Cricetulus griseus: one gene and its partners. The protein of the gene in region 1 purifies or fractionates together with the protein of each later gene. This does not show direct contact. Links are inferred from orthologs where the notes say so. Each region holds a gene or a part of one and is shown on either strand. Other genes may lie near its edges.

What was found.
Region 2: the proteins of Zc3h18 (region 1) and Sf3b1 purify together in Homo sapiens (affinity purification with mass spectrometry; 3 studies listed by BioGRID and IntAct, with this or other methods). This does not show direct contact. The link is inferred for Cricetulus griseus from reciprocal best matches to the Homo sapiens genes ZC3H18 and SF3B1.
Region 3: the proteins of Zc3h18 (region 1) and Ncbp1 purify together in Homo sapiens (co-immunoprecipitation; 3 studies listed by BioGRID and IntAct, with this or other methods). This does not show direct contact. The link is inferred for Cricetulus griseus from reciprocal best matches to the Homo sapiens genes ZC3H18 and NCBP1.
Region 4: the proteins of Zc3h18 (region 1) and Sf3a1 purify together in Homo sapiens (affinity purification with mass spectrometry; 3 studies listed by BioGRID and IntAct, with this or other methods). This does not show direct contact. The link is inferred for Cricetulus griseus from reciprocal best matches to the Homo sapiens genes ZC3H18 and SF3A1.
Region 5: the proteins of Zc3h18 (region 1) and Fnbp4 purify together in Homo sapiens (affinity purification with mass spectrometry; 3 studies listed by BioGRID and IntAct, counting the BioPlex papers as one, with this or other methods). This does not show direct contact. The link is inferred for Cricetulus griseus from reciprocal best matches to the Homo sapiens genes ZC3H18 and FNBP4.
Region 6: the proteins of Zc3h18 (region 1) and Virma purify together in Homo sapiens (affinity purification with mass spectrometry; 3 studies listed by BioGRID and IntAct, counting the BioPlex papers as one, with this or other methods). This does not show direct contact. The link is inferred for Cricetulus griseus from reciprocal best matches to the Homo sapiens genes ZC3H18 and VIRMA.
Region 7: the proteins of Zc3h18 (region 1) and Srpk2 purify together in Homo sapiens (affinity purification with mass spectrometry; 3 studies listed by BioGRID and IntAct, with this or other methods). This does not show direct contact. The link is inferred for Cricetulus griseus from reciprocal best matches to the Homo sapiens genes ZC3H18 and SRPK2.

What each region holds. Positions count from the first base shown.
Region 1 is NC_048596.1:199,022,381-199,027,039, forward strand, and holds the start of Zc3h18 (zinc finger CCCH domain-containing protein 18), read left to right. Parts: upstream 1-1,709; 5' UTR 1,710-1,851; intron 1,852-2,712; exon of another isoform or gene 2,713-2,778; intron 2,779-4,659.
Region 2 is NC_048595.1:409,446,568-409,450,780, reverse strand, and holds part of Sf3b1 (splicing factor 3B subunit 1), read left to right. Parts: intron 1-220; coding exon 221-418; intron 419-505; coding exon 506-607; intron 608-2,027; coding exon 2,028-2,207; intron 2,208-3,344; coding exon 3,345-3,431; intron 3,432-3,525; coding exon 3,526-3,796; intron 3,797-4,067; coding exon 4,068-4,213. UniProt on the Homo sapiens protein: Component of the 17S U2 SnRNP complex of the spliceosome, a large ribonucleoprotein complex that removes introns from transcribed pre-mRNAs.
Region 3 is NC_048595.1:97,267,642-97,271,854, forward strand, and holds part of Ncbp1 (nuclear cap-binding protein subunit 1), read right to left. Parts: intron 3,823-4,213; coding exon 3,725-3,822; intron 2,565-3,724; coding exon 2,501-2,564; intron 1,628-2,500; coding exon 1,517-1,627; intron 1-1,516. UniProt on the Homo sapiens protein: Component of the cap-binding complex (CBC), which binds cotranscriptionally to the 5'-cap of pre-mRNAs and is involved in various processes such as pre-mRNA splicing, translation regulation, nonsense-mediated mRNA decay, RNA-mediated gene silencing (RNAi) by microRNAs (miRNAs) and mRNA export.
Region 4 is NW_023276807.1:100,715,991-100,720,203, reverse strand, and holds part of Sf3a1 (splicing factor 3A subunit 1), read left to right. Parts: intron 1-1,261; coding exon 1,262-1,412; intron 1,413-2,308; coding exon 2,309-2,502; intron 2,503-3,360; coding exon 3,361-3,478; intron 3,479-3,749; coding exon 3,750-3,935; intron 3,936-4,213. UniProt on the Homo sapiens protein: Component of the 17S U2 SnRNP complex of the spliceosome, a large ribonucleoprotein complex that removes introns from transcribed pre-mRNAs.
Region 5 is NC_048599.1:86,026,270-86,031,108, forward strand, and holds the start of Fnbp4 (formin-binding protein 4), read right to left. Parts: upstream 3,199-4,839; 5' UTR 3,178-3,198; coding exon 2,862-3,177; intron 1,986-2,861; coding exon 1,893-1,985; intron 1-1,892.
Region 6 is NC_048595.1:125,649,738-125,653,615, forward strand, and holds part of Virma (protein virilizer homolog), read left to right. Parts: coding exon 1-85; intron 86-1,217; coding exon 1,218-1,384; intron 1,385-1,963; coding exon 1,964-2,295; intron 2,296-3,878. UniProt on the Homo sapiens protein: Associated component of the WMM complex, a complex that mediates N6-methyladenosine (m6A) methylation of RNAs, a modification that plays a role in the efficiency of mRNA splicing and RNA processing.
Region 7 is NW_023276806.1:171,083,145-171,087,357, forward strand, and holds part of Srpk2 (SRSF protein kinase 2), read left to right. Parts: intron 1-634; coding exon 635-660; intron 661-1,808; coding exon 1,809-2,055; intron 2,056-3,061; coding exon 3,062-3,529; intron 3,530-4,213. UniProt on the Homo sapiens protein: Serine/arginine-rich protein-specific kinase which specifically phosphorylates its substrates at serine residues located in regions rich in arginine/serine dipeptides, known as RS domains and is involved in the phosphorylation of SR splicing factors and the regulation of splicing.

The DNA of each region.
Region 1 (4,659 bases):
ATTAAAGGTGTGTGCCACCAACACCCGGGGCAGCTGGATCTTATGGTGGCATTTTCTCAGTTGAGGTTCCTTCCTCTCTGATGACTCTAGCTTGTGTCAAGTTGACATAAAACTATCCTGCACACCTGGGGACAGAGAAAACTAGATTGCAAATTGAAGGACTAGGAAAGAAGACATGAGTGCCAGAGAGATGGGCTGGGAGCACTGGGTCATAGGAAGGGTGGTGCATTACTTTAGGTTTTATCTGATGGCTAAAGAAGCCACTGGAGGAATCTCGAGCCATCAGGGAAGTGACTGAAACTGAGTTATAAAATGTGGCTCTGACTGCATAAGAAAGTCCCCAGGAGTGAGAAGGGGGATATTTAGTATTAATTCAGGCAACAAGTGGGGTGGAGAGCATAGAGAACAGGAGGGAAATTCAAAATCCACCTGGATCTATATATGCATGCATGCTGTGGCCCAGCTAATTCAACAATGGCCGCCTACCAACAACGGAAAGTCCAAGAATCCAGTGGGCTGGATTCAGTCAAGGTTAGATGTCTCAACTGGTCTTCAGTATTCATTGAAATCCTGAAGAAGTAGGCCCTAATGCCAGTGAACAAATGAACTTGCCAGAGTAGGAGCAAGCAGGCAAGGGCTTCCTTCCTCCATGTCTTTTACATAGGCTGCCACCAAAAGGTGTGGCCCAGATTAAAGGTGGATCTTCTCACCTTAAAAGATCCAGATTAAAGGTGGGTCTAACCACTTCAAATGATTCAATCAAGAAAAATCCCTCACAGGTACTCAGCCACTTGGGTTTCATGACTAGGCTTTTCTTGAGCACCATTTAAGGGTTCTTATAGCATCTCTGTGCTTATAGCATGTGTCAGACCATTGCTTTCTGTGGCTGAATTAATGTTCCTCTGTAAAAATGGAACAGCTATGGGCATCTGGGCTGTTTTCCTTGAAGTTGTCCGAGGAAGACAGGCAGCCCCCAAGCATGTAAGCCCAAAACCAGTTCCAAAATTTTCAAGGGGCCAGTACCCAATGACCGCGCCACACTTTGTCAGTAGCGATCAGGGGGTTTAGGCCAGCAGCAGCAACAGAGCACTGCTGGGGGGGGGGGGACTGTAAAAAACGTTTCAACGGCTTAAATCCTCCCCAGGGGGATTCCACTGGGTCATGGTAATCATATTTAACGAAATCAAGAATATTTAGCGCCACTCTAACTCTACAAATATCTCCAAATATTCCTTGGGGGGGGGAGCGGGAGGCGAGGACCAGGACCTGGAGCTGTCTCTACTTCAGAGCTACACTCCAGTCTCCAAAATACTTTTGGTCAAGCATTGACATTTAATAAGACAGGAGATTCTCGCCTGGCAAAGACCTATCCCAAGTTTTTAGGCACTGGGGTGTCCACACGCGCAGACCAAGAGCTACAAAGGACTTTCCCTACCGGGGGTCACGATCCGCCCGCTGCCAGCCTTTCCCCATCCCGGGAAGCTACCACCAGAAATCCAGAGACTCTGCGCACGCGCCGCTAGATGGCTCGCTAGAAAGCCGGCCGGCCTCGGTGGGCGTGCGCAGAAGCGGAGACTTGTGAGCGCGCGCCACGGAGGAGGGGCCTCAAGAGTCCGGAAGGAAGCGCGAGGAGGGCGGGGCTAGCGAGGGAAGCCCGCCGGCCCGCAGTACGGCCGTCGCGGCCTGATGACGTCGCACAATGGCCGGCCCCCGCGGGTAGTGGAGCCCGTTTGTTCCGCCCGCGTCGTGCCTGAAGCCAGAGTCAGTGAGAAGCGGAAAGGTCGAGGAACGTCTTGTCCACGCTGCTCCCATCTCAGCGGAGCCGTGGCCGCCTCCCGTCCTCGCGCTGAGGTAAGCGGGGCCGGCGGGTGGTAAGAAGGAGGCCGCCAAGCGGCGGCGGGAGCGAGGCCCGGGAGCCCGGCGCCGCCTCCCGAGCTCGGGCGCGCCCCCGGCTGTGCGCAGCCGCGGGTCGAAGCGCGGCCCGGGACAGCGGGCAGGCGCGAGCCCGCTGCGGCCTGGGACGTCCTGGCGACTTTAGCGCGCCGCGGTCTGCCATGGTGAAGTTGGTTTTCTGAAGCTGTCATTTCTCTTCCGGGCCACTCGGCGTGGCACATGTTCGCCGCCTACAAAGGGGAGTGAAGCACGCAGGTTGGCTGGGGAGGAGGCTCGCCTGGACTGTCGACGGGCTCTACGGGGAACTTTGAGCTCTCTGGAGCCTCCTGCAACAACATGCTCTCGCAACTTCAAGTGTGCACAGGTGCCCCGAGAGGTCCGATCTCTTAGGAAGTATAACCTCCTCACCTTTTGGACTGTGAGCTCAGAGACACCGAGTCTTTGGCGTAAAGTAGCCAAACAATTGTAGTGCTGGAAAGAAACTAAGACTTAAGTCTCGCTACTGCTGGAAATTTAGTTTTCCCCGTGTACATTGACAGCTGAGCTTACCGGACACAATAGTAGCTTTAAATGAGTTCTGTTTAGCACTTACTTGCAAGAGTAGGTAATTCTTCAGATCCATTTGGGGATAATGAAAGAGAGCATCTGGTTCATCTCCACATTACCTATCCCAAGGCAGGGGTTGGAGATTCTCAACCCCTAGGCTAATTTCCATTTCCCAGCCCCTGAGAGGAGAATGTGTTTGATCTGAGCACTTATGAAGCCCAGCCAGTTCTGGAACCAGTTCAATATGTCCCAAAGCCTGAACCTTCTCTCCAGTTGTAGGTGGGGAATACTAAAACATTTTAAGAGAACTTTGTGGATTTACTTCAGAACACTCAACAGGTAAGCTCTTGCCTTGCTCATTTTTAAAGAGCTATCTTGTCATTTACACACCATCTCAAGGTGACTACTCCTTATCAAAGAGTTTTTGGTTGAGCTTAAGTCAATTTGGAATTGTGCTTATCAACAATCCTGACATTCTTGCTGTATACACTGAAACGATGAATGAGGATTTTAAACAGGTATAATAGAACTTAGACATCAACATAGGATCTGCTCTGCTAAAAGTAGTTTCCCACAGCTGGGCAAGGTATACCACAACTTTAATCCCAGCCTTTGGGAAGCAAGGGCAAGAGGATCTCTGGAGGCTGACCGAGTATACATAGTGCCAGGACTACATAATGAGACTTTGTCTCAAAAGAGAAAGCAGTTTCCCAGAAGTTGTGCTTGTTATTGATCCACCTTTGCTGAAGTCCACTTGAAACACCTGTCTCAGTAGTAAGCATGTGAATTAATTGGTTTCATTTTAATAGCCACACACCCCTCTGGCTTTGGAGGCTGTCCTGAAACTAGCTCTTGTAGGCCAGGCTGGTCTCAGAGATCCACCTGCCTCTGCCTCTGCCTCCCAAGCGCTGGGATTAAAGGTGTCGGCCACCAGTGCCTAGCTAGGCCAGGCTCTTAAGTAGTTTGTAGCAGTTCCTCAGTGACCCAACTTTGAGGAGAATGTGTTGTTACTATTCTGCCGTTAGTGGTGTGGTTGAAGTCAGTTTGGCCTCCCAGAGCTGCTGCTGAGACAAGAGCAGAGGACAGGCTCTGGAGCTCTGGTTCTAGTGTTTTACAAATTAGGCAACTTTTTTGTTTTTAGTATGCAACAGGTAGTTCTTTGCTTAATGAGATTTTTGTCAATTATTTAACAAGTATTTTTCAGGTATGTCAAGTGCAGTAGGGGAAAGAAACAGTGAAAGACTTGAGTCATTCCACCCACTGAACAGGTTCACCACTTTGGATTGGAGGACTAAAGATTAGCTCTAAAACTTGTGAGAGTCCCACATTACTGAGTGATTGGCTAAGATGGGTTGGTCAAAGATTGTAAACATGGAAGTGTATTGAGTTGGACTGAAGGACCCTCAATTAATTGTTTACACTTGATAGGGCATATAGTTCCCTTCATCCAGCATAGGGTAACACACAATATTTGTCTCAGAACACTGGCACCTAGAGAGACAGTGAGCCTTCCTAGAGCAGGGCTGGAAATCAAGCCATCTCCTGATTCCCTGTATGATTCTTGCTCTAAAGGTATGATTTAGAGTGGTTTTTCAAAAAACACACAGATTTGTAGTTGTCCCTGAAACATGTTAACCTGAATGTGGCCTCCAGTAGTACAATCCTAGGAGGTCCCATGGGAAGGAAGAACAGTGCAGTGCCTTTTCTCAGAAAATCTTTCAGGGCCTCTGCAATGTAACTCTGCACCATGGCAGCCCTGATCATGCATCCTGTGGATGCTAATCATGGCCGCTGTAGTCTCAGAAGTGTCCCAGCCGTATAGTACAGTGTGTGGTGTATAGGCTGCTGAATGCCAGCCCTGTGAGAGCCTCTTATCCTTTCTCACTCTGCAGGATTGGGAAGAATATATGTTTTCCATCACTATGACAATGCATGAGGTGATGAACTCATACAGAGAAAAGATTTAAGTTGATGTAGTGGCACACACCTTTAATCACAACAATCAAGAGACAGGGAGGCAGATCTCTGTGAGTTTTAGGACAAGCTGGTCTACAAAAAGAGTTCCAGACAGCCAGGGATACATAGAGAAATCCTATCTCAAAAAGAAAGAAAAAGGGGGTGGCAAGAAAAGGTATATTTTGGCTCTCAGTTTGGTATATTGTAGAATCTAGACCATGTTCAGTTAGTAAGGTAGTGACCAGTGATAGAACAAAGGCGCTT
Region 2 (4,213 bases), on another chromosome or scaffold:
TCCCACTTAAATTTTAATTAACAAATTAGGAGATAAGTGTTTCTCATAAATATCTTCTTAACTTTTAATTAACTTTGAACTGTGGCATATGTTTTCTTCAGGTAAATAAACTTGCTAGCTAATAAATTACAAAGATGTCTTTAAGTGTAAATGCTACTATGTTGTCTTTCATTGTGTAAAGCCAAAGCAGTCCTGCTAAAGTGTGTTATAACTCTCTTAGGTCCTTCCCCCTCCAGCTGGTTATGTTCCCATTCGAACTCCAGCTCGAAAGCTGACAGCAACACCCACACCTTTGGGTGGCATGACTGGTTTCCACATGCAAACTGAAGACAGAACTATGAAAAGTGTCAATGACCAGCCGTCTGGGAATCTTCCATTTTTAAAACCTGATGACATTCAGTACTTTGATAAACTATTGGTAAGTGATGCTAACAGAAATAAAGTATTATTCTTTGTTTGGGAGTTACAAATCACTGTCTTGATCCACCTTTACATTTTATTATAGGTTGATGTTGATGAATCCACACTTAGTCCAGAAGAACAGAAGGAGAGAAAGATAATGAAGTTGCTTTTAAAGATTAAGAATGGTACACCTCCAATGAGAAAGGTAAGTTCTGTTTTTATTGTTTTTTGAAACAGGTTCTCTGCATAGTCCTGATTTTCTGGGAACTCACTGTGCAGACCAGGCTGGCCTGGAACCTATAGAAATCACCTGCCATTCTGGCTTTCAAGTGCTGCAATTAAAGGTGTATGCCACCTTTAATAAACAATAATAGAGGTGTGTGCCACATCTGACTCCCTAGTTCCAGCCCATAAAATTGTTTATTTATTTTTGATTTTTCCAGGCAGAGTTTAGTTTCTCTGTAGCTTTGGAGCCTGTCCTGTAACTAGCTGTGTAGATCAGATTGGCCTCGAACTGACAGATATTGCCTGCCTCCGGAGTGCTGGGATTAAAGGTGCATGCTGGTGCACGCCTTTAATCCCAACACTCCGGAGGCAGAGGCAGGCCTGGTCTCCAGAGTGAGTGCCAGGATAGGCTCCAAAGCTACACAGAGAAACCCTGTCTCCAAAAACAAAAACAAACAAAAAGACACTCTGTTCTGGTTACTGTTTTTGTTTTTTTATGTGGTCTCTGATACATTGCCTTAAGCTTGATCAGGCAGGCCACTCTTATTCTGGAGTGGCTGCTTGGGATTACAGACTTTGGCTCTAGACTCAGTGATTGAATTATTTTTATCAAAGGATTTTTTTTGTTCTGATAAGGACATGAGGATGTTAAATTCTTTTTGTCCTTGACAACTTGAAAGTGCTTAGAAATAGAGGTGGATTAGTGGAAATTATGTGAGTTCTATTAGCACCAAATGTGGTTTGACTATAGAAGGCTCTTCAGGCTCAGCCAAGATATATGGTATACACTTATGTGGTTCTATAGCTCTACTAAATTATCTTTTCAAAAAACATGAGCATGTATACAGGGTGATAACTTGCAGGAATCAGTCGTTTCTTTTCATGAAGTGAGTTCTGGGGATTGAATTCAGATGATCGTCAGGCTTAGTAGCCAGTACCCTTTGTCCTCTGAGGAATGTTACAAGCCCTATAAATTACCCTTTTTTCTTTTATTTAGTGTATACATGCATGAGTTTGCGTGTGCAGTCAGGCAGGTGGATGCATACTTCAGAGTAAACAGAGAGGTCAGAGGACAGCTTTTGGAAGTTGGTGCTTTCCTTCCATTGTCTAGATCCCAGGGTTTGAAGTGGGTGTCATTGAACTTGGTGATAAGCTCCTTTTTACCTCTTAGCCATCTCACCTGCCACTAAATTAATTACCTTTTTTGAATGAGCTGATAACATTAAACTTGAGTCATGTGAGTTTAAACATTAAAACAATTTTGACAAATGAATTCTTACTACTATATGTAAATTGCCTGCATAAGTATACATTAAAATATTCCTGTTGAAACTTGCCCCATATGAATGCTTGCTCATAAAAGAAAATTAATATTTTCATTTCCTTCTGCTTTTCCCCAGGCTGCCTTACGTCAGATTACTGATAAAGCTCGAGAATTTGGAGCTGGACCTTTGTTTAACCAGATTCTTCCTCTGTTGATGTCTCCTACGCTTGAGGATCAAGAACGTCATTTGCTTGTGAAAGTTATTGATAGAATATTGTATAAACTTGATGACTTAGTACGGCCATATGTGCACAAGGTTGGTTTGTTCCCCAAGTAGTGTTCAGTGGTTTAATTTTTATTTTGGGGGTTCTATTTTCCACTGTCTGGAATCTGGAAGTTCCCTCCTCCCCCAGGGTGGAGAGGCATTGTTTGAGATAGGTCTTTCTTTGTTGCCTTGTAGACCAGGCTGGCTTCTAAACTCACAGAGATCTACCTGACTCTGTCTCCTGAGTGCTTTTATCCATCACTGCCCAGATGTTCAATATTTTTAAATTTTCAATATAAAAAGTCAGGTTTATTTTACCAAATTGTCTTTGTATTTATAAAAACTTACTTTATGTATATGGATACTTTGCCTGCATTACTTGCATGCTTGTTGTCTTGGAAGCCAGAAGAGGGCATTGGAACCCCTGGGACTGGATTTACAGATATTGGATCCACTGGGACTGGATTTATAGATGTCTGAGTAACCATGTGGCTGCTGGGGATTGAACCTGGGTCCTCAAGAAGAGCAGCTAGTGTCTTTACTGCCAAGCCATCTCATCTCTTCAGCTCTTTTCCTTTTATTTTTAAAAGTTAAAAAACTTTAGTTGATTCTATACAAGCATAGTCTAGAAAATTTTACTATTTATAGTTTCCTTAGAGTTAATCAGTGTTGAATTAGTCTGTCCTGTGATCTTGTAGGGGTTTTGAGAAAGGGTCTCACCAAATTATTGAGGTTTGCCTTGTGTCTATGTATGTATGGATGTATGCTAACTCTAGTACAGGATGTGCTGCTGCCCAGGCAGTTCACAATTAGGTGGGTGTTTGCAAGGCATTCTCAGTGGTTTTAGATCCTGCCAAATTGACGATCAACAGTAATTATTACAACCACCGATCTCTTTTTTCCTTTCAGAAGCATCACATTTATAAATATAGGTATATGTAAATGGTTTTTGCTCTCTTTACTCTTGTAAGAATTAGAATAGGTATTTTATTTTGTATCAGAATAAAGAATCAATATTATGACTGCTTATATATTTCTAAATATAAAATGTTAGTTTATATTTAATTTTCACCTATATCTAGGGCTTGACAGTATGGAATTAAAATTCTTTAACCTACCCATCGGTTAACAAAGTTCCTTGATAACTGTAAGTTGGTGTGGAAACATAATTCCTTGTGTTTTTTTCAGATTCTTGTGGTTATCGAGCCATTGCTGATTGATGAAGATTACTATGCTAGAGTGGAAGGCCGAGAGATTATTTCTAATTTGGCAAAGGTATTCACATTAAGTTCCTAGAAGAGGAAGTTTGTCTTTTGATGTGTGGAGGATTAATGGTATTAACTGAAGCTATTGTATCTTTTCTCTTTAGGCTGCTGGTCTGGCCACTATGATTTCTACCATGAGGCCTGATATAGATAACATGGATGAGTATGTCCGAAACACAACAGCTAGAGCTTTTGCTGTTGTAGCCTCTGCTCTGGGCATTCCTTCTCTGTTGCCCTTCTTAAAAGCTGTGTGCAAAAGCAAGAAGTCTTGGCAGGCGAGACACACTGGTATTAAGATTGTACAACAGATAGCTATTCTTATGGGCTGTGCTATCTTGCCACATCTCAGAAGTTTAGTTGAAATCATTGAACATGGTAAGTTTTATCTTTTATAGATCAGACTGTCCTGAATTTTTGTTTACTGTTTGGGATGTGGGGAATAACTGAAAGGGCTTCCCCATACAAATGCTTTATTTTTGAAATGGGGTTTATAATATTTTCTGTTAATAAACTGCTTTTGCTGAAATTTTATCTACTGTAACATTTCTCGCAGTTTGGATACAAGGTTAGATACAATGATAAAGTTTGGATTGTATTGTGAAAATTAGGTATTGGTGCCTGCTCACACCTGTGTTTGATTGTATAGGTCTTGTGGATGAACAGCAGAAAGTTCGGACCATCAGTGCTTTGGCCATTGCTGCTTTGGCTGAAGCAGCAACTCCTTACGGTATCGAATCTTTTGATTCTGTGCTCAAACCTCTATGGAAGGGTATCCGCCAACACAGAGGAAAG
Region 3 (4,213 bases), on another chromosome or scaffold:
TCCCCGATGCAGTGTCACTGGGTATTATCAACCATACTCCAGGGCAAGCCCCATGTGCAGGAGTAGCTGGCTAACAAAACAAATTCGTGTGTGTGTGTGTGTGTGTGTGTGTGTGTGTGTGTGTGTGTGTGTGTGTGTGTGTGTGTGTGTGTGTGTGTGTGTGTGTGTGTTGTTTTAATGTTTTGTTCTTCCTCCTTTCCCCCTCAAAGTTTGTTTGGATTTTCATTTTTTCTGTTTTTGTTTTAAGGGAGACATTAAGTTGATTGGCTAAGAACTGGGAAGAGTTGGGAAAGAGGACAGAAGATAATCAAAATATACTGTATGAAAAATTATCTAGCCTGGCAGTGGCTCATGCCTTTAATCCTAGCACTTTTGGGAGGCAAAGGCAGGTGGATTTCTGTGAGTTCAAGGCCAGTATAGTCTAGTGAGTTCTACAACAGCCAGGGCTATTCCACAGAGAAACCTTGTCTCCAAAAACCAAACCAAAACACGACACACACACCCATCTAAAAAAGAACAAAAATAAACAAAAAAACAAGGCCTTTTAAAGATAAAAGCCACATAACATACCTATAAGCTAAAACCACTCAAGAGTGGTAAAAAAGCTTATTTCACAAAGGGCATAACAAATCTGAGCATATTTATACCAAATATGGACAAAGCAAAGCTAATGGAACTAGAGAAATGAACAAATGGCAGACTAATATCATTCCTAGTAACTCATAGAAGCAGCACAACACATACAGGCACACACAGAGATAGGGAACTATTTATTCAAATAATACAATGAATAGAACTTATCTAATGGGCTTATAGAAGACCTGAAGTCCTGAAAAGGCAGAATATACATTTTCTTAAAAACAACAACAAAAAAACCCATTATTTTAAAAGGCAAGGAGCTGGACATTGATGGTACATACCTTAATCACAGCACTTGGGAGGCAGAGGCAGGGGGATCTCTGTGAATTCAAGACCAGCCTGGTCTACAAATCAAGTTCTTAGGACAGGTAGGGCTGTTATACAGAGAAACCCTATCTTGAAAAACTAAAACCAAAACCAAAAGCCAACCCACCCCCCAACAAAAAGTAACAACAAAAAGGCAAAGGAATAGCGGATATGGCCTCAAACCTGTTAATCCCAGCAGTTTGGAGGCTGAGGCAGGTGGATCATCCTGGGTGTGAGGCCATCCTGGGCTATCTTAGAAAACAAACAAAAGGCAAGGGAATAATACCAGCATTATTAGTGTGGTGTGAAATGAGCAGGATCCTGCTGGGGAAAACAAAGGAGTGTATAAGCTATAGCGCCCCATTTGTTTTAAGCAGGGGCAGATGCTATATGTTAACTTTACAAACATGCATTTTGTCCCAAGTCTTATTTACTTAAAAATAAATGAAACCATTATCGCTAAAACCCAAAGCATAGGAACATAAAGGTGAAACTGAGAAAAGACAGCTTCATAATGCAATCTTCTAAAAAGCACAACCAACAGTGTACATTTAACAGCACGAAAGGATACAACTTGGGGCAGAGAGCCAGGCTGAAGTTTGCACAGTTCGATGAGCAGTGTAGTGTACATTACATCAATGTGAGGGGGCGCTGGAAGCTGAAACAGCTCTGCAAAAATCACCTGTGAAACAACTCGGAGTCAGAAACATCGTAAGGACCCACACATTACAGCCTAATCCTAAACTCAATGGCACCTACAATGGAAAAAGAATTCCCTTTTATTCTGAAAAACTATGCTTTCTGAGACCTCCAATTCAACAACATAATGAGCAGCCCCCTTTTATACACAAAGAGTCCATTAGATGAAAGCTGCTGTGACCCATTACTGCTGAGACAATGTACAATAATCTATCCTTTGAAGTCTCAGAGTTGACTGAGGGAGGCATTTTATCTAGGGGCTCAACCAATGGAGCAGAATTCCTGTGGGTATTGAGAACTCTTGGTGGACCAGGGATCAAGACAGTTGAGTATTTTATACTGCTACTGAGATTTAAAAATATGACTTAGAGCCATGTGTGATGATGGCACATGCCTAGAGTCCCAGCAACTCAGGAGGATAAGGCAGACGGGTCGTAGTTCCAGGTCAGGTTGGGTGATATGATGACACCCAGTCTTTTTGTTTTTGTTTTTTGATACAAGGTTTCTCTGTGTAGCCCTGGCTATCCTGGATCTTGATTTATAGACCAGGCTGGCTTCAAATTCAGAGATCCACCTGCCTCTTCGTCCCAAGTGCTGGTATTAAAGGCGTGTGCCACTTAAGAGGGGAAGAGAGGAGGGAGAGGGAAGCTGAGGCCAGCAAGATGACTCAACAGGTAAACGCTCTGTATTTCAATCTCCGTTCTTTTTACTAGCAAGGTTAATTGAGAACACAAACTGTGGAGATTTCCTTGTTTCTCTATTCATTCTCAGAGCCTGATAAGTAGCAAGGAGCGCACAGACAAACCGTCCGCAGACAGACTAAGAAAACAGAGTTAGAACGGCATGAAATGCATACCTCAACTATGTGGTAGTTCAAGGGGATCTTATTCTTCCCTGGATAGCTCACCAGCTGTGCAGCACTGTAAGAAGTTTGACTTCAGTTAGTAAGGGTACAAGACACACAAACCCTACCAGCTTCAAATGCAGTGAGCTTAGCTGAAAAACGAACTTTGCTGTAATGTTCTAGTGTTCAGTTATTAACATGGTATGAATTGTTTGTCTTACATACAAAAAGGAAATTAACACCAGCACCTGCAGATCTACTAACTTAGCACATTCTTACAGGTGTTCCACTCTTCAATACAATGTTTCTCCTCAAAAACTAAGCCAAAAGTTTCCAGCTTTATGAAAATGTATTAATACTCAGGTTTCTGAATGTTAGAAAACAGAAAAAAAGCATTAGTACGCTTTAATTTCCATACATCCAAACTAAAATCAGACTACTATTCAATTTTAGCATATTTGGAATGTATGTACCCGTGTGTGCATGAACAGGCATGTGGAAGTCAGAGGTCAAGAGGTCAGTGTTAAGTGCCTTCTTCAACTGCTTCTCTATCTTACTTTTTTTTTTTTTTTTTTTTAAGATTTATTATGTATACAGTGTTCTGTCTGCATATATTCCTGCACGCCAGAAGAGGGCCCCAGATCTCATTACAGATGGTTGAGCCACCTTATAGTTGCTGGGAATTGAACTCAAGACTTCTGGAAGACATGCCAGTGCTCTGAACCTCTGAGCCCCTCTATCTTACTTCTAATACAAGGCCCCTCACTAAACCTGAGGTTCAGGGACTGGAAAAGGCTCAGTAGTTAAGAGCACTGGCTGCTCTTACAGAGGACCTGGGTTCCATTCCCAGCAACCACACAGCACCTCACAGTTGTCTGGAACCCTTTTTCCAAGTGATTCAAAGCCCTCTTCTGGCCTTTGAGGGCATCAGACACGCAAGTGATGCAAGAGACATACATGCAGGAAAAATACCCATATACATAACACCTGGGGTTCACAGATCAGCTATGACTGGCTGGACAGCAATCTCTAGGGATACTCCTGTCCCAGCATCCCCAGAACTGAGATACAGGTGAGTGCCAACTGTTTACATGGGTTCTGGGCCCCTGAACGATGCTCCTCATGCTTGCCAGGCTATCTCTCCAGTCTTATACATGCCCAACATATATTTTGGTCTTATAAAATCATCAAAATGGTTTCCTACCCCCTTTACAAGTACCATGAAGAGACTCTCACCAAGTTTTCCTTTCCTTCCAGTAGGATTTTATGATGCAGTGAAGATTCTCCTCTATGACAAACCTCTCCACTGAATGACTCCCTGGCATAACAGGACCCTGGAAGGAAGAACAAATGAACTCACACACAGAACCACAAAACAGATTTCTTTCATTTATTCAATAAATACTTGCATCTAGGACTGAACTGTTTTGTTAGGTACCTACCACAGAATCAAGAATGTATTGTGCCCCTGAGATATCAAATACCCACCATGCCTATTTTACAAATCAATTTTTAAAAAAATTTTAAAAACCAACTCATCTCTTTCTCTCTAAAAAACTCTTATCATCTATCCATCCACCCACCCATCCATCATGTGTGGTTGTGTGCCATGGTACATTTGTGGCAATCAGAAACAATTTGTGGGGAACTGGCTGTCTCTTTTTACCATGCAGGTCATCATGATTATGATGGATCTCTGGTGTCAGATTTCATGGCCTGTGCTTT
Region 4 (4,213 bases), on another chromosome or scaffold:
AGAAAGACCTTGTGACTACAGAGGCCATCCAGAAGTTTAGCGGGTTTCTCTTCCCTACTTCAGGCAGAAACTACCTCCCGAGCAGATCCTCGGGTGAGAGAGGTAGTAGGTGTCTTTTGAAGTCACCAGGTTCTCACAATTGAGCAGACGTGGTTTGTGCTGGTTTGTTTTAACTGTGAGATGGCTGTTTCAGACTCTTAGATTGAGGCTGCTTTTGTATATACCAGGTTTTCTTCTTAATATTTTAAAATGTTTGTGTCTCACCTCTAATCCCAGAATAAGTTCAGGGCCACTCAGGGATACAGAGTGAGACCCTTGTCTCAAAAACACAAAGTGCTCCCCCACAAAAAAAGTTTTTGATAGCTTCATACAAGTATATGCTATTTTTTAGATATCTTCGTCTCCCCTTACTCTTTCATTTCCCTTGCCTCTTCCATTGAAACCCTTTTCAATAAGGTCTCCTCCTTTCATTTCATCTTTTGTGTGGCCCTACTGTGTTTGTTGGAGTTGCTTACACAAACATGGGATGAGAGATTATTTACTGGAGTGTGGCCAACCTGTCAGTGACTACACCACTAAAGAAAATGACACCCTTACCTAAGCCACCCTTCACTGCCAGTATTTCCTCAAGGAGGAATGCCCATCCTCCATTTGTGATGAACTGCTAATGGGTCCAGTATTGTGTAGGTAACCACAGCTGCAGTGAGTTGATGAGTACAAAGGCTTTGTTGTGTCCAGAAGATGTCTTTTTGCTGTACATTTCCCCATCTTCTGGTTCTTACATTCTTTCTACTCCCTGGCCTATAAATATTCACTGAGCCTTGGAAGGGGTGATATGAATGTCCTCTTAAGGGCTGCACATCACCACTGCCATTTACCCTTGACATGCGACCGGTCTTTGCATTTGATCATAGTCCCTGCTTTAACTGCCACAAAGTTTAATAAGAAGTTGCTCTGTTGAGAACCAATCATGATATAAACATTGAACACTTTAACAATATGACTATCTAACAAAAGAGACAAAAAAGGTGACAGGTTCCCCCTAGAGCCTATGGCACTTGCAGCTCTTGACAAGGTTTACAGTACCACTTACTAGGTTTTCATGCACATTTACTACAAGAGAGTTTGCGGCTGTGAGCCTGGAGCCCTTTGCCAACTCTGGAACACTAAAGTTTCCCCTTGTGAGCATAGTTGCATCTTGGTCTGAAGGCAATGCCCTGAAGCATCATTGGAGGCACCTTGCTATGTTCTATCCTCACAGGTGTGCTATCGAGTAGAATGGGCCAAATTCCAGGAGCGTGAGAGAAAGAAGGAAGAAGAAGAGAAAGAGAAGGAGCGGGTGGCCTATGCTCAGATCGACTGGCATGATTTTGTCGTGGTGGAGACAGTGGATTTCCAACCCAATGAGCAAGGTAGGTAGGTCGAGAAGAGAACGCCTCCAGGAACTCTGGCGCTCCCAGGGAGCTGCAGAACCAGGCACAGGACTTCATTACTGTTTTTTCCCTCTGTTTCAGAAGGGGAAACATCGTTCATTTGCCCAAGTTAAATGCAATTCATCAGCTGGTTACCATGTTAGACTCTGATGTCCTCTGCAGATAATAAAATTAGACAATTCCTAGTCTTTGGGTAGCTCACAGACAGGACAAGGAATTTCTTCTTGTTATTGTGTTCTTTGTTTTTGTTTTTTTCTTTTTTCTTTTTCTTTTTTTTTTTTTAGGAGACAGGGCATATTAATCAGGGTTTTCTAGAGGAACAGAACTGATAGAATGAATCTGTATACATAAAAGGGGAGTTTATTAGAGTGACTTACAGGCTGTGATCTAGCTAGTCCAACAATGGCTGTTTCTAGACAGAAAGTCCAGGAGAGTGGATGTCTTAGCTGGTCTTCATTATCTTTGGAATCCTGACTAGGGAAAGAATGCCTCAGTAGCAGGTTGGCAAGCTTTCCATCAAGAGTCAGGGCAAGTAGGCAAAAAGCAAAATCTTCTTTCCATGGCTTCCAAAAGAAGGTGTGGCCCAGATTTAGATTGGCTCTTCCCTAAAATGATTAGTCCAAAAAAAAAATTTCCTCACAGGTCCAGCTGCTTGGGTTTTAGTTAATTCCAGATGTAGTTAAGTTGACAACCAAGAATAATCATCAAGCTAGGTCTCTGTAGCCCTGGCTATCCTAGAACTGGTGTAAAACCAGGCTGACTACAAACTTACAGAAAATCCACTTGCCTCAGCGCTCCTTCCAAGTGTTAGGAATGAAGGTGCTTGACACCATACCCAACTCAGAATGCTTTTGACCCCGTCTTACCCCTTTTAGGAAACTTCCCACCCCCAACAACACCAGAGGAATTGGGAGCCCGAATCCTCATTCAAGAGCGCTATGAGAAGTTTGGGGAAAGTGAGGAAGTGGAGATGGAGGTTGAGTCTGACGAGGAAGATGAGAAGCAAGAAAAGGCTGAGGAGGCTCCTTCCCAACTGGACCAGGATACTCAAGTACAGGACATGGATGAGGTAAATTCTCAGGTGGTTTTAACCTGATCTTTCTCCTGGAGACCAGGAAGTTGGGGGACGCTCTCCTGGTCTAAGGTTCCGCTCTTTGAGACTCAAAAGATTTTGAGTTCTGGAGAAGGCCAGACTGGCTGCTGCTGTTTTAAGTCCAGGCAGCCCAACACACTCCAGCAACAAAGACCAATTCATAGGAAAGATCTCGAAGCTGTGCCAGCCTTGTAGTCTATTGCTTTCCCTTTGGCTTGGCATCCCTGATCCCAACCCACCCTCCACCAGCCCTGTTAAGGGATCCATATCACCCTGTGTTTTGATGCCTTTCTAGCACTCAGGCCTAAAGGATCACTAGTTCCCAAGCTTGTCTAAATGTAGCCTACACGTCCTTTCAGACATTTCTACCCTCTTCCAGCATAGTCCTCCAAGTAGGCACAGAATCCTGAGCCAAGCTGCTTTCCCTGTTCTGAAAGAATTTGTGTATAGCTTGAGAAGAAAGGGCCCCAGTGTCTGTGGGAATTGACTTTTTCTCTCCCTCCCAGCATTGCTCTGGGAGCAGCTACCATTGAGCGCTGACTTGGCTCCTGTATTCTTCTGTGTGTTAAGTGCCTTTGGCCTCTTGGGATTGCCTGGTGCCAGCCGCTGGAAATGCCTGGGAGGAGTGTTAGCACCATGGTCCCTGATGCTCCCATTCATGTTGTGAGGAAACAGCTTGGCTTGCTGCCAGTTGACCTCAGCTGCTCCAGAAGGCTTAGCACATGGATGCTGGCTGCAGGGACCAAGGCTCCTTGCCACCCTGAGAGCCACAGTCTTGAGCTTTGGGGACGCACCCTTTCATCTCCTGAGTTATGCTACTGCTTTGCTTTTTAGGGCTCAGATGATGATGAAGAAGGACAGAAAGTGCCTCCACCCCCGGAGACACCCATGCCTCCACCTCTGCCCCCAACTCCAGACCAAGTCATTGTGCGAAAGGACTATGATCCCAAAGGTAGGGCCTGTGTCCCAGTCCTTGTGCTGCTAAAGAAAGTCCTGCATGGTCTTGTGTGTTCTTCAGGTGGGCTGTTTCTAGGAGGGCTTGAGGTAACCCCTAGGTTACAAGCCTTTTGATAAGAAACTAGAGTGTAGTCATTTCCAGTTTCAGGTTTCTGGTGTAAAAGTGGCACTAAAGAGATGTTTCCAGTGAATGATGTTTGAATGTATTGCTTTCTTAACCTCAGCTACTATCCAGAATTCTCACTTAGTTATCTGTTTCCTTTTAGCTTCTAAGCCCCTTCCTCCAGCTCCTGCTCCTGATGAATATCTTGTATCCCCCATCACTGGGGAGAAGATTCCTGCCAGCAAAATGCAAGAGCACATGCGTATTGGGCTTCTTGACCCCCGCTGGCTGGAGCAGCGGGATCGCTCCATCCGAGAGAAACAGAGTGATGATGAGGTTTATGCACCAGGTGAGCGGGAGGTTCCCAGCCCATAGCTTCCTTTATGTAGACACAGAACAGTTGAGGTCAGTGAGAATTTGGGAGATAGGTGCAGCCTATGATACTGTAAAAGAAATTTGTATTTTCCAGAACACTGTATAGGGAAGTCCTCCAAAGACTGGTACTGACCAGCTGTCACATGCCTGTTGATAATTCCATAACAAGATACTGGCAATAGCTGGGAGGGATACTTAGTCATTTGCTCTCTTGGACAGACTTGTGATTCAAATTCTGTCTCCTGGAGTGAC
Region 5 (4,839 bases), on another chromosome or scaffold:
TTCTTCCAGAGGATCAGAGTTTAGTTCTCAGCACCCATGTTGGGCAGCTCACAACCACCTGTGTCTCCAGCTTTGTGGGATCTAACATCCTCTTCTGGCCTCCTCAAGCTCCCACACATTGCACTTACATAGACACATACCTATAAATAAAAACAGAAAATGTAAAAATAAAATTACTCTTAAAAGACATTTTACTAGGGGGCTGGAGAGACGGCTCAGTGGTTAAGCGCTCTGGCTATTCTTCCAAAGGTATTCATTCATTCATTCATTCATTCATTTATTGGTTTTTCGAGTCAGGGTTTCTCTGTGGCTTTGGAGGCTGTCCTAGAACTAGCTCTTGTAGTCCAGGCTGGTCTCGAACTCATAAAAGATCCACCTGCCTCTGCCTCCCTAGTGCTGGGGTTAAAGGGTGCAACTCCACCACCCGGCGTCTTCCAAAGGTCTTGAGTTCAATTTCCAGCAACCACATGGTGGCTCACAACCATCTGTAATAAGATCTGGTGCCCTCTTCTGGCCTGAATGTATACATGCAGGCAGAACATTGTATACATAATACGTAAAGCTTAAAAAAACTTTAATCTTCAATACATGTAAAATACAGAAAACAATCTTGCTGTTTTAATGTCTGAAATAAACATACATATATAATTTATATTAATTTATATATAATTTAAGAAGATATATATGTAAAATTTAATACCCCAAGCAATTTAGGTCTATAGTAGTAGACATATTTTATAGATGAGTAAGTTTCAGCCCAACAACTGTCATGAGTGAAAGTTAGAATAATGATTTGAACTCAGGTTTGCCAATATAACCATTGCCACAAATATTACAGCACAATAGGACTGCCAACTGTATGGGGTGGGGGATATTTGAAAAGGAATTTTCAGCTTCACAAATATTTAATTGGTACCAACCAAGGCAGTGTTAAATGAGTGGGGTGTGGTGGAGCACACCTGTAATAACTATAGTACTTTGGGAGGTAAAGGCAGGAGTTAGCAATAGGTCAAAGTCAGCCAGCCTCAGTTATATACAAGGTTTTAGGCCAGCCTGGACCATGAATCACTGTCTGAAAAGAATGACAACAAAAACCATAACCAACCGAATAAATAAATCAATAAATAGTCAAAATGAAAAATAAGGCATAATTGGTGCCCCTTAAAAACACCAAATGGCCAAAAAACTTGTAGATAAATGGCTCAGTTTGTAAAATAAATTTGGACTTGCATTCAGATCCCTTGTACCATGTTTTGGCTGATGCAGTCATCTATAACCACAGTGCTGGGAGTGAAGTGGAGTGGTACAGAAAAGTACCACTTGGAGAGGGGGGGGTTTGTCTAGCCAGCCTAGCTAAAGTTCAGGATCACTTGAGACGCTCTGACTTAAAAATAAACAAGTTAGGTGGTACAGCCTTAGAAGCATGCAATCTTGTCTGCCTGTGTGTGTGCACACATAGACAAACCGATTTGGGGTATAGCAGTAACTAAATAAGCCGAAAATAAACAAACATCCTTGTTACTTAAAGTTTGTGGTGATGTACGCCTTTAATTCCAGCAACTCAGGAGGAAGGAGGATCTCTTTGAGTTCGAGGCCAGCCTGGTCTACAGAGCAAGTTTCAGGACAGGCTCCAAAGCTACACAGAGAAACCCTGTTTCAAAATACCAAAATTGTTAATCTATTTTTCTGTAAGACTGGAGCCCAGAGGCTTGCATCTTTGAAGCAAATAAATACTCTACCACAACTCCAACCCCAGAAACACTTTAATTACTTTTTACGGGAAACCGTAAATTAGCAACACAACCATCCAACAGACAATCCAGGCACACACTCAATTTTAACTTAATGAAAGAAATTTTAGAGAAGAGTAAAAGAACAACAGAAACCTGTACCTGTTGCCTTAACGGCTGTGGGTCTGGTGGTCATGACTGGTTTGGGAGGGTTCTGAACAACTTTGGGAACCTCCACCACCACTTCCTGTTCATCTATATTTGAAATGAACAAAAGGAAACGGCAGTGAGTCGGTGGACCAGAGAAAACACGAGAGGCAGAGACAAAAATAAAAATCTGACCTTTCAGGCCTGGATTTCACCAACTTACAAAACCAAAACCAGTGTGTATCACTGGTCCAAACTCGGGGGGGGGGGGATCTAGAATCTTCCATTCATTTAAGTGACATCGACAGTAACCTGAACATTTATATGAAAATGGCACCTGCAATACTCAACAATTAAAACGCATAAATAAATCTGTAGGTTTCCACACAGTATGTTCTTGCTACTTGATAATGGTACAGCTTCTCCCGCATCTACACCCGGTAGGAATTGTTACTCCTAACCCAAATACAGTTCCAGGGAAACCCACAGGCTTTGTTACTTTTCTACAAGTCGGCGGGGGGGTGGGGGCACCGATGCTTTGTCTGGCATAAAGAAAAAAAGGGTTTGTTTCCTTCTAAAGAGTGGCTGTCTCAATTTCAACAAAACCGAAACCAAGTGTGACAAGCAGAGAAGGCTAGGCTCAATTGCTTCAATGCTCCACGTGGAAACTGCCCTCCTCCTCCCTCTGCGTTATCAAGATCGTAGGGGGTCATGTGGGAGACATTTGGGGTGCCAGGCCTCGGTGGATTGCACAGGTTCCCGGGGAAAAACCCTGCACCCGCAATGGCGCCTCAGATGAGCGCGGCCGGGCCTTCCGCTGCCCAGAGTCCACGGTCACAGTCCCGCGGATTCCAGGTCCCAGGCAGCCCAGGCGTATCTCGCCCGCCAGGGTCACTCTTCCTCACTGGGAGGCCTAGGCCTCAAGCCCCGTGCTCGAGTTTCGGACGTCCCAAACACAGGCAGGGGCACCTCGCGCGCCCTTACCTTCCGAAGGCGAGTCCTCTGGAGCAGCAGTGGAAGGCACCGCGGGCGACGTCGCGGCCGCCGCCGTCGCAGCCGCAGCCGCCGGGGCTGACTGGTTGGTCGCCGCTGCCGTCGAGTCAGCCTCAGGATCCGGATCGGGGTCGGGATCCCGGCCCGGCGTGCTGCTCCGAGGACCCGGTGGAGAGAGCTGCAGGATGGGCCTGCGGCCGGGTACCGCCCGGGACTTCTTCCCCATCGCGAGCCCGAGCGCGAGCAGCGAGCGTCGGCAGTCAGGAGGGGCGGGCGCACGGGGCCCCGGTGCGTAATCAATATTCATGGACCACGGCACCGCCTCCCGAGGAGATCCGCTTCTAACCGGCACGGTGCGGAGCGCCTGCGCATGCGCCCTGAGCCCGGGCGCCTTTACGGACGCTCCGCCCCATCCACGGAAGGGTGGGCTTTGTTCAGGGAAACGGCGATTGGCTGTTTTGACTTGAGAAGGAACAGGTAGCCAATGGCAAAGGGAAAAGACAGGACGTCCAGCCAATAGTGCGGAAGGGCCCGCGTTTGTGCGACTTCCTCCAGGAGACGGGGTTTCGCCCTTGCGCTGTTTTCTTTAGCGCTTTGTCAGCCATCTTGTGGCTGTTTTCAGCTGTTTGTCATTTAGGAAGGTAAAGATGTATTTCACCCTTCTTCAAGGTTCCCTTGATCACTGTGGCTTCTTCTGGGTGTAGTATTAAACAACAGTTATGACGCTGGGTATTTATAATTCTGTAGACCCTTAAAACGCAAATACGATGTGATTAGTGGGAAAAATGACTGGGCCTTGAAAACGACCAAACTATTCATATGGGTACAGAAATCTTACCTCATCCTGCTTTACTTATCTTCCGAAACACTCCTTTCTGCCCTATTTCTAAATCCTTCACTTGTGTCTGGAGGAAAAACCTGGAGACTGGGGACGTTGAGCTCTTTAAAGTCTGAGACTTGTTTGCCTGCAGAAGTGACCTCCGGATCCCTAGAGGCAGGTGACGTCCAGAGCAATTAATGTTCTCCCCAGAGATAGTTGGCAAGCAAGATAATGCTGATTTTTTTTTCCAGGACTCACTCCTAGCATTCCTGGTTGCTTCTGGACATATAGTAATGACACACATGGTCTATAAGGTTGTGGTGTGCTTTACTACAGGAGAGCTACTGAAGTGTTCTCACGGTACTAGCAGAATTAGTGTAAGAACCCCCGGAAGCTCAGGCCTCCAGAATCTTTTCCCAGGACCTCGACCACCCCAATCACCATGAGGAAGCGGAAACTTGATGCAAACAGCAAGAGGCTTTAATGAAAGGTGGACGTTTGTACAAACGGACTCTCTCAGCATGCAGGCTAGAGAGCACCCCTGTCCCCCAGGCACAGGTGTTTTTAAAGGCAAAAACCACAAGCTTAAGGAGGGGCATCACCAGAGTCATGGGTTCCTAAGAGGCCCTTTGTATTGAGGAGAGGGCTGGGAATCAGATGGCCTCCTGACCCACCAGTTGTAAAACCTGCAGACCTCAGAATATGCTTATCTTGCTTGAGCAAATGGTAGCTATCTCTTTGTTTCATTGGGACCCTTAATTGTTAATTATTGACACATTGGCCAGTGGGGCAATCTGTCTCCTCCATGAGCCCCTTGGGGAGGGTGGCCATCTGGGAATTCTTGGTACCCAGTTATCTTATGGCCTTGTAAGCTGGCAAATTCCAGGCCCTAAGTCATAGTTGAAAGGTTCAGGCATTATGCTGGCCTGCCCCTGTTACCTGGTGGAATCCACTCAGGCAATACCCTGGTCAGCCCAAGGTTCCATGGGAAAGAAGTCTGCACGCAGGTGCAGAGGACCCCTTTAAAAGATAGGCCCCTGCACCTTTCTCTCTCTCTCTCTGCCCCTTTACGCTCGCGCTCTCTCTCTCTCTGTCTGTCTGTCTCTCTCTCCCCCTGTTCCTGCTCTCTGTCCCCTTTCTCTGTTTCCC
Region 6 (3,878 bases), on another chromosome or scaffold:
GCTAGCTGATGTCATGGATGACCAGTTAAAATCTATGTGGTTTACTCCATTTCAGGCTGAAGAGATTGATACAGATCTAGATTTGGTATGAAGGATTTTATTACTAACTTTTAGAAAAAGTTGGTTTCTGTTTGCTTCTTTTTGTGTTGGTAGCATTCTAATAGTTTTTATAATATACTCCTTTTTTCTTTTTTTTTTCCTAGACAGGGTTTCTCTGTGTAGCTTTGGAGCCTGTACTGGAACTTGCTCTGTAGACCAGGCTGGCCTGGAACTCACAGAGATCCACCTGCCTCTGCCTCCCGAGTGCTGGGATTATAGGCATGTGTCACCAGTGTCCAGCTTATAATATATTCTTAAGGTCCATTTGAGGGCAGAATCATGTATGTCTGTGACAGTCGCCCACTTACTGAAATCTAGAACTCATTTTTTTCATCCTGTCCATTTTGCTTCAGGCTAGTTTGAGATTGTGATGAGGGAAAAACATTACATTCTTGCATACATCCTCTGAAGCACATGGTCTTTTTATGCTGGTGGGGCAGACACAGCTGTTTGTTCTTCACTGGGTTCAAGGAGAGGATGGTTTGGTCTCTTCTGGGAACTTGTAGAGTGTATTATAGTATTAATGTAATTGATGTTCTTAATGCTGTCGGTTCAAGAGTGTAAAGACCTACTGTTTGATGCTTCTCAGAGGTGTATTTCTGTAGAATTTTAGCCACATCTTACTGCACTTCTATATTGGTTATTTTCTTTATCAAAGAAATCTGCTTGGGTATTCCCTTGTCCAAAAGATACTAGTGTTCATCCTGAGTAATGGAACTGAAAGAATGAAGCAATTTGTATTTAATATATGTTTAGTGTAATGAGAGCTGCTTTTCCTTTAAGAAAAAAAATACACATATTATAACTAAAAGTGCATTAAAGAATTTATTTTTAGTTTTTTTTTTTTTTTTTTTTGATTCATTAGAACTGTGCTGTCCAGTAAACTCTGTATAAGAGTAGAAATGTTCTGTGCTTTTCCAGCTTTGGAATAGTAGCCAGTAGCTTTGTGTGACTGTTAGAAAATTAAAATTTAGTAGTGTGACTGAAACACTGAATTTTGGTTAGACATGGTGGCTTACCATGAGAAGGTAATAGAATTTGTAGGTAATGGCAGTTTCTGTAGTGAAAGTTTCAGGAACTTAAATTTAATGTATTTTATTTTATTTTTATGACTGCAGGTAAAGGTTGACTTGATTGAACTTTCTGAAAAGTGCTGTAGTGACTTTGATTTGCACTCAGAATTAGAGCGCTCATTTTTGTCAGAGCCGTCATCTCCAGGAAGAACCAAGACTACTAAGGGATTTAAACTGGGGAAGCATAAGCACGAGACGTTCATAACTTCAAGGTAAAATTCATTCCATGGCAGACCTTATTTTAAGATAGACACATATCTGTAGCTCCCCTCCTCTTTTTGTTTTTCTGAATCAGGGTCTCTACTATGTAGCTCTCTGGCTGTCCTAGAACTTTTTCTAGGCTGTCCTTGAACTCACAGAGATCTACCTGTCTGCCTTCGAGTGCTGGGATTAAAGGCATGTGCCACCTTGGCTGGCATAATTGTAATCGGAGATTTTAAAGTGAGTAATTTGTTGGGGCATTACTAGTACATTCTGTTTGTCTGTCGTTGCTGCTGTTGCTGGGGTTTGAACACAGGGCATTGTACTTCCTGATTCCACTGAGCCCTCATTGTACTGTTCTTCCTTTGAGCAAGAAACAGACTGCCTAGATTGTTTAAAAAATATTAGTCTTACCAACAAACAAGCATACTTAGTTTGCTATATTATCACAGAAAGTAATATTACTGAAACAGTTCCTGTAAGTAGAGGCATCAAAGATGAGATTCCATTTTTAATATTGCAAAGATGGACACTTTCACTGGAAAACTGAAAAAGAAACATTTTCCCATAGAGTGCTTTTATCTTAACAGTGGAAAATCTGAATACATCGAGCCTGCCAAACGTGCTCATGTTGTGCCACCACCAAGGGGCCGTGGCCGGGGCGGATTTGGACAGGGCATCCGGCCCCATGATATTTTTCGTCAGAGAAAACAGAACACGAGTAGGCCACCGTCTATGCACGTGGATGACTTTGTTGCAGCTGAAAGTAAAGAAGTGGTCCCTCAAGATGGAATACCCCCACCGAAACGGCCACTTAAAGTGTCACAGAAGATTTCCTCTCGAGGTGGATTTTCAGGCAATCGAGGAGGACGGGGTGCTTTTCACAGTCAGAACAGGTTTTTCACACCGCCTGCTTCAAAAGGTAACCACCTGTGTATGTCTCCTGTCGGGCTGGAGTAGCAAACATGTAACCCAGATAGAACATTTCTCTCTTCCTACAGTTAAGCTGCCTCTGTCACTGTTGAGTACTGGTAAAATAAAGCAACAGACATCTCTCTTGTTTACTTCCCTTTGCTATGTTGTACTTTCTGTTATGAGGAGTGCCTGCCTGCCTGCCTGCCTGCCTGCCTGCCTGCCTGCCTGCCTGCTGCCTGCCCTGCTGCCCTTCCTTCCTTCCTTTCCTTCCTTCTTCCTTCCTTCCTTCCTTCCTTCCTTCCTTCCTTCCATCCTTCCATCCATCCTTCCATCCTCCCTCCTTCCCTTCCTCCTTCCCACCTTCCCTCCCTCCCTCCCTTTCTTCCTCTCATGTTTCTCTGTGTAGCGATGGCTGTCCTGGAACTCACTCTGTAGACCAGGGTGGCCTCAAACTCACAGAGATCCACCTGCCTTGGCCTCCTGAGGGCTAGGATTAAAGGTGTACACCACCAGCACCTGGCTCCCCCCTCCTTTTCTTTTTACTGTTTTCCTTTTTACATTGGAAACAAACCTTCTGAATCCCAGATGTATCACCACACCAAGTTGAAAAAAATTTAATATTTTATTTGTGTGGCTATTTTGCTTGCATGTGTGTCTATATGCTACATGTTAGGAATCCAGACACACACACACACATTCATTCTCTCTCTCTCTCTCTCTCTCTCTCTCTCTGAGTCCAGACTAGGTGGGCATTGGATCCCTTGGAACTAGAGTTACAGGTGTTTAGGAACTGCTGGTATTTGAAGTATGGTTCTTATGATTGAATGGCAACTGCTTTTACCTGCTGAGCTGTCTTTCCAGCCCCTATATTTTCTTTTAATGTTGTATTTGGTTTATTTTAAATTGTCTTGAGTTTTTGAAACTGACTATACTTATAGATATTACTCCTTTGTTATTGTTGTTTTTTTTTTCATTTTATACAAAGTGTTGCTATTTACCAAGATTCATCCCAAACTTGTGACCCTCTTGCTTCAGCAAGTACTGAAATTACAGGCATATGCCACTATGCTGGCTTCAGAGATCAGTCTCGTCTCTCCTTCTCTCCCTCTTCTCACTCCCTCTCTCTCTCCTTTGCTCTCTTTCTCTCTCACTCTCCTCCACTTCTCTTTCTTTCACACTCTATTTTATTTGAGACAGGGTCTTATATAATATCCTTTATGTATTGTCTATAACGAGGCTGGCTTCAAATTTACTATGTAGTCAAGGAAATCTTGTGGTCTTAACCTCATGAATGCTGGGATGACAGACATGTGCCACCACAATCCAGCCAGGTTCTTTACTGGAGAACTGATGACATGTTTGTATCTGTTGAGTTAGGGTATGAATGAAGAGGAATCAGAGTTTGCATATTATAGCAATCATGTATACATAGGATATCAGCAACTGTTCTCAGAACTTCATCTAATACTCTTGCATCAACCCTGAGGTGTATTTCTAATAGCACCTACTTTATAGAAGAGAATGTAGGTGATAGAACACGACAGTCTGGCACTGTAGTCACCTGCTCTTAACCACTGTGAGAGGCTGTTC
Region 7 (4,213 bases), on another chromosome or scaffold:
TGCTTTCAGTGTAATCACATTGCCTGTGCCTGGTACATTGTCCTGCAGATGTGCAGATTAAAGGGCTAAAGGTCTTATGACTGACAGGGACTTCAGAGAGGTTGCTTTCACCTCATCTCATATGCCATCATGATGTTATTAGCGCATGCAACCAATTTACAAAGGTTTTGACGCTTATAAGGCTGACTTCCAGAGTGATTGCTGCAATATGCTGCACTGTGTGACTTAGTTTAGTTTAGTTGTGTGATGTTTCTAAGTGGTTTTCAAACATAGCTGTGTATCTTCTCATCTGAAATGTTCATCGCCTCATTTGTGAAGCACATGTGGTTCTATGACAGACTTACAAACTATTCCTCCATTTCTCTTTCTTCTTTCCTCCATTTTCTTAATTTTTTAGTCAGTGCTTTGAGAGAGGCTGTTTTCAGGACAAGTGTCTTATATATGAACAGCTTATCCTATGCCCTGTAAGAGTCAGTTGTGTGTTTGCATTGCAGAAACTTTTTAGAAACGTCAGAGGTTTAGTTTTTTGAAGTTGGGTAATTATTAAAAGACAGTATTATTTCATTTTGCAAATGAGATTGTCCAAAGGTACCTGTTTTCCTCTGAATATCAATTTTGTTTTGTTTTGTTTTAGTGAGTACAGCTCCACAGCAAAAACCTGTAAGTATTTTACATGTATATTCAGCAAAAGAGACTATTCAGTGTTGAGCTTCACAAACTATGTAGCAAATGTTCTAATCTTTATTAATTTAAAAGTTGGCATGTTTATAAATGCTCTGTTCTCCCTCTCCCCAAAAAAGCTTGACTTTTTGTGTGGGACTAGTCAAAGCTATTATAAGACCAGTCTCTTCCTGTGCTCCCTGGGCTGCATTTGGCCAAGTTCAGTGAATTGCAAGGTTTTAGATTAAGTTTAAAAGAACCGTTTTAAAATTACTTCTGCTTGGCCTCCAAGTATCTTCTTTGACAAAACCCTTTTAATTTTTTTATAGTTAGCTGTGTAAGTGAGCATTATATATTCTGTGGATGTGCTGTCTTAAAAGAGAAGTCAAGTCTGGTGAATTGTTGCCAGAAAATCCAAATCACTTTTCTTTTTCTTTTTCTTTTTTTGGTTTTTTGAGACAGGGTTTCTCTATGGCTTTGGAGGCTGTCCTGGAACTCGCTCTTGTAGACCAGGCTGGTCTGGAACCCACAGAGATCCGCCTGCCTCTGCCTACTAAGTGCTGGGACTAAAGGCATGTGTCACTACTGCCCGTCGCAAATCACTTTCATAGTTTTACCCTGATCTAAGGATTTGGGCTTATGGGTCTTTGAAACTTTAAAGGTATTCATTGCCAGTATTTTCTAAGACATATGGCTGTAGCTGAAGGTAGGCAAAACTGTGGCTTTTCTTTTTTTGTCCTTTTATATTATATGTTTATTCCTGAAAGTTCATGTTATATTGCCTATCAGTCACAGCTTGGTATTAAGAGCCAAATGCAGACAGTGCTGTTTGCCACCTGTCTTGGTAGGTGTTTGTTTTTGTTGTTAAGAGTGAGAGTCATTCTGGATATAGGCAGCAGCAAAGAAAGGTTGCAAGAGATTCTTGTTCAAGGTGCTCGGTTCTAGACTTTCTAATGGAAGTTATGCCCCCTTAATGGCAAGACCAACAACATGAGCACAATCCTATCCTAAGGTAGAGTTTGTGATCATAACTGAGTATGATATGAAAAAGCAGAGTTGGAATTTGCCGTGTTGCCAGCACTTACACTCCTAAACAATGTTTTAAGAAGCAGCACCTAACCTATGGTACTTTCTTTACCATGTTGTAGATAGGAAAAATATCTAAAAACAAAAAGAAAAAGCTGAAAAAGAAACAGAAGAGGCAGGCTGAGTTGCTGGAGAAACGCCTGCAGGAGATCGAGGAATTGGAGCGAGAAGCTGAAAGGAAAACCATAGAGGAAAGTGTTACCACTGCCGAGCCATCCAATGAGCAAGATGATGGGTGTCACCTGGAGGGGAAACTAAAGGAAGCAGAATTCGAGGAGGCAGCTGAAGGAGAGATAGCAAAGGATAATGGTTAGTACAACTGGGAGCAGGGGGGAGGGCTAATGGGTGGGTGTCATGGAACTGCACGAAAGGCCCAGCCAGTGTGCCACACAGGTTGGCTTCATGCTGCTGCCTCAGATGTTAAGGACAACTTTCTCTAACTCTTGTTGGAGATTATGGGAAGCAGCCTATACGCCATCGGTAAAATGTATGCTAGGCATTATGTTGACATTTCAAAGTAGGTTTTCAAAAAGGGAAGAAGAAAGTCCAAGAAACATGTTTTTTTCCTGTTAATGATGCCCCTTATTTTATTTTGTGACTGACCTTTTGCCTAGCTTTAATACACCACAAACCTTATTCTAAAGCTGTAGAGGAAAGGGTTAGTGACTCAAAAAAATGGATCAGTGTTCCTGCAGAGGAACCAAGTCCGGTTCCCGCAGCACTTGTGTCCTGTTGCTCACAACTCCCTGTGACTCCAGCTCTAAGGCCATAGGCATGCGCGCGCGCGCGCGCGCGCGAGCACACACACACACACACACACACACACACACACACACACACACACACACACACAATTTACAGTGAAAATCTTAAAGATCAAGTACAATAACCATCTGAGGAAAGCAGTGGGGAGGGTTTGAAATGAAAATCCAGTTTTGCTTAGCATTTTACCCCCCAAACCAACTTGTTCCTGAAAATATAAGGCTAATTATTAAATAAGCAAAAAATAGGGTTTAGAAAGCCATTTTTGCCTTTTAAACCAATAGACATGTTCTGTGGTATATTAGAAGCATCTCTTAGTTGGGTATGATAGCAGATGCCTTTAATCCCAGCACTTAGAAGGCAGAGGCAGGTGGATCTCTTAAGCCTGGTCTACAAAGAGAATTCCAGATCAGCCAGAGCTACAGAGAGAAACCTGTCTGGAAAAACTAAAACCAGAAAAATACAAAGCAAAGTATGTCTTGTTGAAGAAGCTAACTAGTACTGCTTTGCAAGGAGAGTCATGACTCCTAATTTTAACCCTATGTTTGTTAAGGTGAAGCTGAAGACCAGGAAGAAAAAGAAGATGCAGAGAAGGAAAATGCTGAGAAGGATGAAGATGATGTTGAACAGGAACTTGAAAACCTAGACCCTACATGGATGGAGTCCCCTAAAGCCAATGGCCATATTGAAAATGGTCCATTTTTATTGGAACAGCAGCTGGAGGATGAAGATGATGATGAAGATGACTGTGCAAATCCTGAGGAATATAACCTAGATGAGCCAAATACAGAGAGTGATTATACGTATGGCAGCTCCTATGAACAGTTCAATGGTGAATTGCCAAATGGACAACACAAGAGTCCAGAGTTTTCCACATCATTGTTTTCTGGGCCCTTAGAACCTGTGGCCTGTGGTTCTGTGCTTTCAGAGGGATCACCACTTACTGAGCAAGAGGAAAGTAGCCCATCCCATGACAGAAGCAGGACAGTTTCAGCCTCTAGTACTGGAGATTTGCCAAAAAGTAAGTGTCCTTGTATCTCTCTCTCTGTTTTCACTGAGCAGGGTCATACCTTTGATAAACACTGTGAAAAGAGTTGGCTAAAGGGGAAGAGACACTTTAAATATGCACTAATCCTTTAATTTCAGTGCTTTTGTATTCAAGAACAAATGGAATGCTTTAGCTGCCAGGGTTTCCCTTACTCTCTGAAGTCCTATCCCTGGACATTTTTCATTTATTATATATTCAGTGATATCAAATACTTTTGAAACACCTTCACCACTAACTACCTTATGGGTTTCTACATGAAACCCTTTTCTAGCTGCTGCTGCTGCTGCTGCTGCTGGTGGTAGTGGTGGTAGTGGTGGTAGTAGTATCTTTGGGTTTTGTTTTTACTCAAGGGAACACCTGCTGGTTTTCAGCTATACCAACAGACAAGTTGAGTTTTATTCAATGGTTGTCCTTGTTTATAGAATTCTGCTTTTGATAAAGCATGATGACAGATTATACATTCTTAGGTTCTTGTCTGTCTGAGGCCCTATCTTCAGACCCATATTTTGGGAGCAAATGCCATATAACTAATTGCTGAATAACTTAAGGAAGGATAACTGAATATGACAGTTGATGTCCATTCTGACCCTTAATGGAATAGTTCAGAATCCTCCTCTACCCTCTACTGCCAATAGTGTTTTTAACACACGGCAAGTA